3 linked regions of the Styela clava genome follow. The protein of the gene in region 3 interacts with the protein of the main gene of each other region in a biochemical or structural test. Links are inferred from orthologs where the notes say so. Each region holds a gene or a part of one and is shown on either strand. Other genes may lie near its edges.

Region 1 (3,762 bases), on a different chromosome or scaffold from region 3:
GGTAGACCAATTCTGCAATTGCTGAATTCAGCAATGACCAGCAGACCAGAGTCTTAGAGTACAGAATCAATTGTCTACCAATCTACAGTTAGTATCAGTTTCAACGGTTTAATGTTGTCACAGTGCGATATAGCAGCGTTAACTTAACATATACAGTACAGCACACTATCCAAATTTCAAGGATTTCCCCTTCATTTGGCTCAATAAAACAAAGACTCTATGTGTCTCAAAAACGAGGGGCGTCTGGGACCACGTCAGATGCTTCATATCGCGCCATGCTTGTCTCAATAATAATCTAAATTAATCGCGGCCGTCACATGACTAAAATTGCCTGTTTTTTCTAAAAACCTTACGAATGCACGGTAAATTTTTTTTTCCTTTGGTAAATCGGATTATTTTTTCTCAAGGAATTCAATGATGACGTTATTAGATTGCGCTTTTTTATAGTATTTTGGGCAACTTCATTATACTGTATTATTACCGATATTGAGGACAACAATGTCCAGACGTCTCCCAACAGAGGGGTGTCTGATCATATGTAAAATGGGTTTTTTTGAAACGGGACAATGTCACCCGATTTGCATAGTGTGTTGTACTGATATATAGGTAGCCAAAAATTTCCATATTAAGTTGGTACAAAAATAAAATATCATGTTTCATTAATTACAATACTGCAATACGAGATATATTTTAAGCTTTTTGTCAGGTGTTAGCACTGTAGAAAACAAAATTCCTTTCAGTCTTCTGACCTAACATTATATGATTATAGTTCTCTGTGTTAAAAAAGGAATTACTGTATTTCATTGCCCAAAAATGTACAGATTTTGAGAAGAAAGAGGAAAATGTAGTTCACTGCATGTCACATTACACCTTACCTCCCACATACATAATTCATTCAATGGAAATCTTGACCCTTAATTTAATTTGGTCTCGTGTAGTTTCGTACCTAAAGTCTGAAAGTACTTTCAGTGGGCGTAGCATAACGATGTTAATCCTAACCCCCACCTGACTATGCCATCCAAAAATTATGTCACTACTACGTTACAATCACATCATAGAGCTTGTCAATGTATACCTACGATTGCCCAAAATGGCATCTGCCCGGCGATAAAGAACTCGCTATCGACAGCGATCTTTCTCTTATCAGGATGGATGCGATGAGAAAACGAGTTTGCTAGGTTTCGGGTGATTGTCTGCGTGTTTCGTATAACAGTTCGTATTGTTTAAATTTGAAGGGCCTAATTACTTTATTACGTCACTGTGACGTCGCAGTGACATAATTTTTGGATGACACGGTGGGGGTTAGGATTGACATATGCAAAAATTGTTATGCTATGCCCTCCAGATGTACTTCAGGTATGAAACTACACTAGACCCATTTAATTTAACTTTCTTTTTTATTGTTTTCATTTATAAAGTATTTGCTAGATCTTATGTTGATATACAGTGGCAAATCATAAATTATCATGGCGAATGTGTCATACCATATCTCGAATTTATTGGAAAAGATGACTTCAAGTGATAAGGATTTCAGGTTAATATTTTGATTGAATCTACATGTACTTTGGCTGTTTGTTGCCTTGCAAGGATTACTATTTATTTGTTTTGATCTCGATAGGGATGACCTGATTTTGTGTTAAATTTTGCAAGCACAAAATTCAGATACTTCTCTATTATGCTATGCTAAAGGTTTCATTACCGGAACAAATTTGGCTGTGAAGCACATAGCGGAATGCAATGTTCTCAGTTGCGTGATACATGCTGTTATGTTCTCATTGAGGAGAAGACTGTCTGCATGTTAGTTATGAATAGAAAATCTGAATTCATATTTGCTTTAACTGTATTTATGTGAACAATTTATTTTAGACAACACACATTTATTTACAAGCTTGAATTCCTTCTTCTGAAGCCCCTTTTGCTTCATGAAGTCATTATAGATATTTATAGAAAGAGAATATAAAATAATTTTGTGTTTTTTCTCATTGCATAAAATAAATGATTTTTTAGATTCATGGCAACAAATGATCTGATGACTGAGTTACAGAAAGACTCCATAAAATTGGATGATGACAGTGAAAGAAAGGTTATTAAAATGCTTCTCAAATTGCTGGAAGATAAAAATGGAGAAGTTCAGAATCTTGCGGTGAAGTGGTGAGAATGGATGACTTTTCTACCCATATCCTAAATTCATAAACATAGTATCCATTAAGCAAACTTGTTTTCAACTTCTTTTCACCCACAGTACCCAAAAATGCAACTACTGTTAGGTTTGTTGAATTTTTTTTCATACAACAAGGCTTTATACAAGCAGCCACTAGTATCTATTGATATGTAGGAGGCTACTATTTTACAAAGGACTGGAAACTTGGCGTTGCCTGCCCAACTTAGAACACTCTGTTTAAGATATTGGGCATAGGATTTGAAACTGAGATGAATATGCCAACTCAGTTAGATCGAATTGTTTAACGCCATCAGGATTCTTGTCCAAAAGATGTTGATAAACAATAGGCTCTTGATCTAGAGCAGGTGAATTTAAACTACGGTAGTTATTATTTTAGCATTTCGAATGTTTAGATACTTCTGTTACAGTAGCACTATAGAAGGATTTACATATTGGCTAAAATCTCTGAAAATGATCAAAGAAATAGACTGGATAATGTAATAGACACCAGTTGTCGTCAAACTGTGGTCTTCAAACGACCTCACTTTTACCGTAAATGTGTATATTTGGTCCAGCAATACATTAAGTTTGCTGACCACAGATGCATTCAATTGCTTTTCGGATTGATGATTGCTGTGTAAACTGTGAATGAATGACCATGGCTGTTTTACTCAGTTGTCAAATTTTTTTTAGTTTATTTACCCTTATGTTGTAATATTTTCCAGTCTTGGACCTTTGGTTGGTAAGGTGAAGGAATATCAAATTGAATCAATAGTGGACACTTTGTGCAACAATATGTTGTCAGATAAAGAACAACTGAGAGATATATCAAGGTAATTTGATCATAGAATCAATTTTAATAAAAAACTGATTATGATTTGATTGAGTTTTATTCCATTTTCTGGCAGTCAACTTGAACAATACTGAGTTTAAAGTGATTTTTGAACTGCAATTCTGGGGAACCGTAATCACAGGGAACAAAATTGTCCCAACTGCGATAAATGCAGATTTTTAAACAAACTACATCAGAATAAACATCCCTCAATGTTTGTAACACTGTGTACTGAAATGAAATTATATTTTGTAATCTTTTGATTAACAATCGTCTAACCTGTTTTTAGTATTGGTCTGAAGACTGTCATTACCGAACTCCCAACATCAAATTATGGAACAGTTGGAACTATTTGTAAGAAGATAACCAATAGACTTACTTCAGCTATTTCTAAACAAACTGATGAATCAGTGCAACTGGAAGCACTTGACATTTTAGGTTTGTTGAGTTTTTTGTATAATACAAATTACGATTAAATAATAAAAATGTGATTTCCTCAGTGCTACACAAATTTACAAAAGCTATATTGATGTACAGTATAGGTCACCTTTGTGGTTAGTTCTGTGATTCTTACTATTAATAAATAGAAAGGTTTAAACCCCTTTTATTTGGAAAATTTTGAGATGTTATCTGGTGTGAGCGCAGTCAGCCATTTTTTGTATGAAAAAGTATGGAAATTGTTAATAAAGTAAACATTAACCATATACAATATGAAAAGCCCTACTACATTTTGTCATCATTCATAATATACAATGATTTAAATCAACAG
Region 2 (2,920 bases), on a different chromosome or scaffold from region 3:
TAAATGTTTGGTTTGTGTGATAAAAACCTTTATAAGATATTTCTATGAATATTGAACAAAGCATTTCAAAGTATACATAATTTACTGGTGACTTGAACTAATCAGAATACAAAACTTCATGAACAGGATAGTCGAATTCTGACACTGGGATTTCATTGCATAATTGCACAGAATAAGCCAAAGCCAATAAATATGGGTGGTATCCATTTTCTTGTAACTTTTTAATGTAATTGTCATAATATCCCTTCCCTCTGCCAAGACGTTTCCCATCAGTTGAAAAGCCAAGACCAGGCATTAATATTAGGTCCAAGCCGCCTGTAACCAAGGCATTTGGTCTTGAATTATCATTATCTGATGGCTGCTTAATATGCCATGATGTTTCGGGTAGGCTGTTGTAGTCTTCCAAAGATTCCAGTTTTACCATATCCATGGTGTTCCCTATATACTTTGGTATATAAACATCTTTTTTCTGTTGAAATGCTTGTTTCAATATTGCATCAGTCTTAACCTCATCATTCATACTTAAGAATATCGATAACCTCTTACTGGATACATATTTAGGGTGTTGAAGAACTTGTTTGGTGACATTATTTGACTGCAATAACTTTTCCTCTTCTGTTAGTGAAGAAATTCGCTTTTTAATCTCCTTTCTGAGCTGCTTTTTAGCTGCTTGCATGTTGTTCAGCCAACTGTTGAATCAACTTTTTCCAATGAGCCCTTTTCTTTTTTATATATGAGGCACAAACATTATCTAAAATACTGCCATTTTGAAAAGATTCGTTCTTCAAGTAATATTCAAATAAACACTCGGTTATTGCAATTACATACATACCACAGTCATTACCATTTGTTTGTTTAGGACATTGCATCTGAGTAATAGTAACACTTGGAAAATCAAATAAAGCAGCAAATTGCTTACATAGCTGGTTAGCAGGTTGTCTATTGAAACATGTTGATGAATTAGATAAAGAATCAAAATGAAAAAAACATTTTGACGAAAAGTCGCAAATGATCAGACTCCAATGAATACCACCTGGATAAAGTGTATTGTTATCATTCAATGGTATGAATGCAAGTTTTTTCGAAGTGAAATTATGTGGCCCTATTATGGCTGAGGCCTCTTCGGTTGTGAGTGTTTTCAACAATTGCACCACACTAGGATTCATGAAGGCAACGATGTCTTTAGAGTTTTTGAATTGTTCGACTTCAAAATACTCATAAACGAATCCGATTATCTTATCATTCAGCCATTGTGAATCATTCAGAAGTAATAAGTCTGACGTATACAACAAACTGTCTCCGAAACTTAATATTATTTCATCCATAGAAATCAATCAATAGTACAGCGTTGTAAACGAAATAGTTTAACAATATAGTCCAAAACTATTGGAATAAAAAACAATTTTGCAAGGCAAGATCCTGAATAAGGCTTGCAAAAGATTTCATTTTAATATCTAAAACATCATACTTTCATGGGCAGTCAAACATTATTTTTTTAATTACTGCAAATCAACCTGAAAAAATATATAGTAAGTAAAAAATACGGTGCGAATTTTCACTCAAAGTGATTAAAAATGAATTCCGATTCTGGTTGTTACTTGAAATTTTAGTGTAGAAACTACTGCATGAAACAAATATCTGAGTATACAATGCAATTCTGTCACTAAATTTTCTGCAATTTCGGGGACTAACGTAGTTTTGAACCACAATTCTGACAAGTAGGCCTACTTCTAACTAAGGGGGAAACCCACTGGCCCCAGAGTAGTCAGAGGTCAGGAGGTGAGAAGGTGGAAGTATGTTAGGTACGAAACTACATGAGACCCAAATACCGGTACAAGTATCGTGTATCATGAGACAGCTGTATGAAGCCCATGTTCAGATATTGCCCCGCGATTAGAGAGTGAATGAGCAAGAACCCCATCACATCGAGACCCTAACCACACAGAAATGTACTTTCCCGGCCTTTGACCCCCACAATATTTTTCCTATAGACCTTTCCCCGACCTTTGACCCCCGGAATGCAAAATTTTCGGAGATATTTTAAGAGTGCTTTTGCGAGTTGGCGCCTGTAAAATGGGGTATGTGCTTCAAACTATCATTACGATTCATCGCATACAACAATCTGTTTTTTTAGAAGTACCGATAATAAATTTTAGCTTAGTCTATCACAAGATTTCTACACTAATTTTTTATTACTGCAATTAAATTAAAACTCCTAGGAAACTTATTCATTGTTCATTGAATTATCTGATTTATATTTGAGTTTCCGAAACACAACTGAAAACTAACGGATAGAGTTCAAAAACGCGGTAATGTTTACACCACACTTGACGATCTGTCTGAGTGAGAAAAGTGTCTGAGCGGATGCGAAAAGGGAGCACTGTTTCGTCACGTTTTGCATTTTGCTGATTGGCCAATGTCACGAAGTAAACAAGGAAATCGATGCTCGGGGAAAGGTCCATGCTCCACCATCGCAAGATTTGATCCTTTCGGGAGTGATACAGCTAGATGTCGCTTGCAAACTGCTTAACAAGTTTAAAACAGCCATTTTTATTGAAAATATTCAAATACGTGCCGCTCACTGATTGTCAATTCAAGCCTAGTACCGGTATATCGTAGCTTTTTCTGGACTAATTTTGAGCTGAACTAAAACTTCCCGGAAGACACAATGGCAATCAGGTTAGTTGATTCACAGCCAACGCTTAAAATCGACAAAAAACAGGCAAACCCACGAAAACGGGGCGATTTTTGGAAGCATGCTTATATATCCGTCTAAACTAAGCGGTTCAAGAAATTGCAAATGTTACGTCATTGTTACGGAAACAAACAAGGAAAACGATACTCGGGGAAACATCCATAGGTACTTTGCTATGCTTGTTTACAACTGCTTGTCTGAGGAAATCTGATTTTGGTCAGAGAG
Region 3 (3,762 bases):
TCAGTCACTAATTAAATTTTTGACCATATAGATCTGCCACTTGGTCACATTGAAACTGTTTTAAATTATATATAGAATCAAGAATATATAAAAAAAATATATAAGTACCGAAACTATGAATAGATCCAATTGTTAAATCCATGACTACATGAATTAAATTCAACTTCTTAGAAGCAAATAGCCAGCTCAAGAAAATATTGGAACATTAATATTACCGGTATATGAAAAAAAAAATAGTTCAACATGATTAATGTGTAAGTCGAAACACTAATCACATCGAAGGAATTTGTTGGTAAAGATAACAAAATAAATGAACAGTCAGTTTTGGAAATACCGGTGGTTGGAAATTTCACGTACCTGGAGTATACTAGATAAATAACTTTGCAAATATGATCGGAGTCTTTTGTACAGTTCATGCCCAACAAAATGTGCACTTTGAGCATTCTGCCATTTCTTTCCCGGTGATGATTTGAAACTGTTATTAGAAACTATTGCACCTGGTGCTTGACGTGAATTCCCACTAAGTTGAACGCATGTGCAGTAATTGTATACATGCCTGAAATTATTTGGATAGACCACTAGGAATGATATTTTTATATCTAAAATAAATTGTGACACCTGGGACATAAATCATACATGTCTTTTATAGAGAGATATTCAGAAACAATACAGAATGTTTTTTCTGCCAACCCACCATGACCCAGAACATGCGATGTCAAATTGCATACATATATGACATACAGTAAATACACATATATAATTAATAAGGAGATGCGCGACATATTCAATTGAACATTCATATTGGTGTTCATTTGTTTTGTCTCTTTGTCATTAACCTAATATGGTAAATCTAGATTAGACTATATGTAAAATAATACCAGTGGGTGGCAATCATTAAATTTCAATACAATTTTAAATTATGGTGGCAACAATAACGCTTACGTGTAGAGTTCAATATATCTTGGCTTCGTCATACTTTTGATTGTGTAAACCTTAAATAAGAAGTATTGCCATATATAAAAAGAAAATTTTGATAAAAATGTTTTATGAAACGGAATGCAATTATCATTCATAATATTAAATTTTTTACATTAAATTCTATATTTCCTGTACAACCTTCAATTTCCCTCCCCATACAGGATGGGCTCAAATTTTAATTAAAAATTAGGTGATATTTGGTAGCAATAAAGGCTAGCGTCGTATCTTTGTAACCAAAGTAAGTTGTGGCCTTGTTTTGAAGCTACTTTCATTTCCTACCAAGAAATATAAGTGTGGGCCTTTCTACAACATTTGAATGTGATGAAATATTTTATACAAGTATATACATTTCACGAAGGAGTGGTAGCAGAGATTACCCATAATAGGATAAACACAGAAAAATATGTTTATACAGATGATTATTTTACACAGAAGGTTATTCGATATTGCTTTTATAAATAAAAGTTTTCATGTCATCAGAAAAAATTCATGACGTTTTTCACACGATAAACTGGGTAGTCGAATTCAATCGATGACAGATATAAGACATTAAAATGGGATATTCGATTGACCTCAGCCCGGCAGCGTCCTGCTGACTTATCAGATAAAAATAGTCACTTCGGACGCTCCACTCGATGTAACTTTAATTTAAATAGAAGATATGACGACACTTGCATCCTGATATTTAATTTAAGCAGGATTTACCTGATCCATCCCTTGTTTTAAATCTTCCCATATTTGTGTTAAACCAATCTGTTTTCCTGTTAGTGATCCAGAGTTCATTCCAGATTTCCTGGAACTGAAAATACATTTATTATAATATATCAATAAAATTTGTATAATGTATATGTATAATGTAGTCTAAAATGGTCCCAAGCAAAGCAAATTTCAATTTTGTACAGGATTCAGCATAATAGGCTATTGAATTATGTCAAAGCAGGTTATCGATATTCACATTAAGCCATATCATTCACAAAATGAAAGTTGTCCCTAAAGTTTCAAACAGTTTAAGTAATGAAAGATGGATGTGTAACAAATTCAAAATTAAGATGGATTTCAAATCTTAGATTTGCCAGAATCGACATTGTGTTGGTAATTACAAAGAATAAAGTGTTTTTTTATCCATCTGGCTTAAGTAACCACCAATCGAGCACCAGTTAACTTTAAGATCAGATTGAAACGTACACTTCTAAAGAACACATTTTAAATCAACCACCTACTGACCTATACAAATAGAAAATTTGTGAAAAAATGACAGCTGACCACATGAAGAAAATGAAAAACAGCTTACTTAGACATTATGAAGTTTGCTGATTACAACTTCTGGCAATATACAGATTAAGTTACCAGTGTTATCTTGAAATAAATATTGACATCTGATACACTGTTATGTTTTTTTATGTAATAGCTGAATAGAAAACAGATCAAGATAAGTAGGAATCTTGGCTACAGATATAACCGTATCGTAAACTTTTTCTCAAAATTATAACATAATGCTTTATTGTTAGGATATTAATATTCACACAGCTATTACTGTATTACAAAGGATCAGATTCATTTGATACAATACAAAATTTAGTGGGATTCCTGGAAAGCAGTACTGGAGTAGGACAGTCGAAATATAAATACAACAGAACTCATGAAAAGAACATTTACTGGTACTGACTTAAGTACTGCGAGTAACAACGGTTGTGTTGAAAACTGCAGAGCAAATAGACTGCTAAGATAAGAAGAAAAATTGTGTCTAGTTTAACTTACATTCAGGCATTAAGTTAGGATATAAAAATTTATCACGTGGGGGGGAGGAAAGCCAATAAGATGGCATAATCATATGGCGAACCACAGCCTCTCACCCGGAGACCAGCCAATGTTGCTTGAGATCAGTTAGCCAGTTATTTGTTTTCGGAAGCACAGAAGCATGGACTTGATGGTGGAGGATGCCGTAATCGACCAGGGTTATGTGGGGTGAACCACCCTCTGACCCTACGGCGGCGATGAGTCCAGCAATGCTTCTGCACATACAGACATACCTATCGCACAGGATTCAAACCTGCGAACCCATGCAGGGTTTGGCGAGCGTATTTCTAACGCTTTGAACGATGCACCGCACCACCGAGCCGCATTAGTGCTGTAGGCTAGTGCACCTCATTCCAGAATACTGGAATGAATAATTCAGATTTTCTAAAATCTGGTTAATGAGTTAGGTAGTCTAACTCCGTTGCATTTCCACAAATCTGCTCTTATTACTTCACCTAGCAACCAATTTCTGAATTGTGTTTTTGTTAAGGACTAAGGATTCCTGGATTCACATATTTCCAGTATTTTGTTGATATTCTTACTGTCTTATGAAGTAATTAAATCGGTAAATAAACAGAGAATTGTGGAGATAACGTAGCTTACTATCACGCGCTACATACTAGATAAGTCTACACGTATTTAAGCTAAAAATCACCGAATAATCGAATTGTTGTTGATTTTAATACAAAGTATTTAAATTATAAATAAGTTAACCAGATAATTGTTGGGATAACGTAGCTTATACCGCCATGCGCTTCATACTGGATAAGTCTGTACGTATTCAAGCCGAAAATCGCCGAATACTGGAATAACACGAACATCTACGGCTCGGACAACCAGCTCAACAAACAATGTAATGCGAACAAAGAACAGGCGAAGTAGCGGCGAGTCAAATTAACTGAGCGACAGCCCAACAGCTAAAGCCAGAAAGCGGACGAGGCGAGACATAGCACACAAATAAAACGACTTCAGATGAAGGCAGTGTGG

The links.
Region 1: the proteins of cullin-1-like (region 3) and cullin-associated NEDD8-dissociated protein 1-like form a complex in vitro, tested with the Homo sapiens proteins (6 studies listed by BioGRID and IntAct). The link is inferred for Styela clava from reciprocal best matches to the Homo sapiens genes CUL1 and CAND1.
Region 2: of the proteins of cullin-1-like (region 3) and sentrin-specific protease 8-like, one has a biochemical effect on the other in vitro, tested with the Homo sapiens proteins (2 studies listed by BioGRID). The link is inferred for Styela clava from reciprocal best matches to the Homo sapiens genes CUL1 and SENP8.

What each region holds. Positions count from the first base shown.
Region 1 is NC_135258.1:12,202,820-12,206,581, forward strand, and holds the start of cullin-associated NEDD8-dissociated protein 1-like, read left to right. Parts: upstream 1-1,390; 5' UTR 1,391-1,466; coding exon 1,467-1,534; intron 1,535-2,007; coding exon 2,008-2,151; intron 2,152-2,886; coding exon 2,887-2,994; intron 2,995-3,282; coding exon 3,283-3,431; intron 3,432-3,762. UniProt on the Homo sapiens protein: Key assembly factor of SCF (SKP1-CUL1-F-box protein) E3 ubiquitin ligase complexes that promotes the exchange of the substrate-recognition F-box subunit in SCF complexes, thereby playing a key role in the cellular repertoire of SCF complexes.
Region 2 is NC_135263.1:15,659,959-15,662,878, forward strand, and holds sentrin-specific protease 8-like, read right to left. Parts: upstream 1,530-2,920; 5' UTR 1,326-1,529; coding exon 663-1,325; downstream 1-662. Other genes in the region: 5-formyltetrahydrofolate cyclo-ligase-like, read right to left, coding at 98-676. UniProt on the Homo sapiens protein: Protease that catalyzes two essential functions in the NEDD8 pathway: processing of full-length NEDD8 to its mature form and deconjugation of NEDD8 from targeted proteins such as cullins or p53.
Region 3 is NC_135252.1:8,236,465-8,240,226, reverse strand, and holds the start of cullin-1-like, read right to left. Parts: upstream 2,418-3,762; 5' UTR 2,278-2,417; coding exon 2,270-2,277; intron 1,778-2,269; coding exon 1,684-1,777; intron 993-1,683; coding exon 943-992; intron 557-942; coding exon 358-556; intron 1-357. UniProt on the Homo sapiens protein: Core component of multiple cullin-RING-based SCF (SKP1-CUL1-F-box protein) E3 ubiquitin-protein ligase complexes, which mediate the ubiquitination of proteins involved in cell cycle progression, signal transduction and transcription.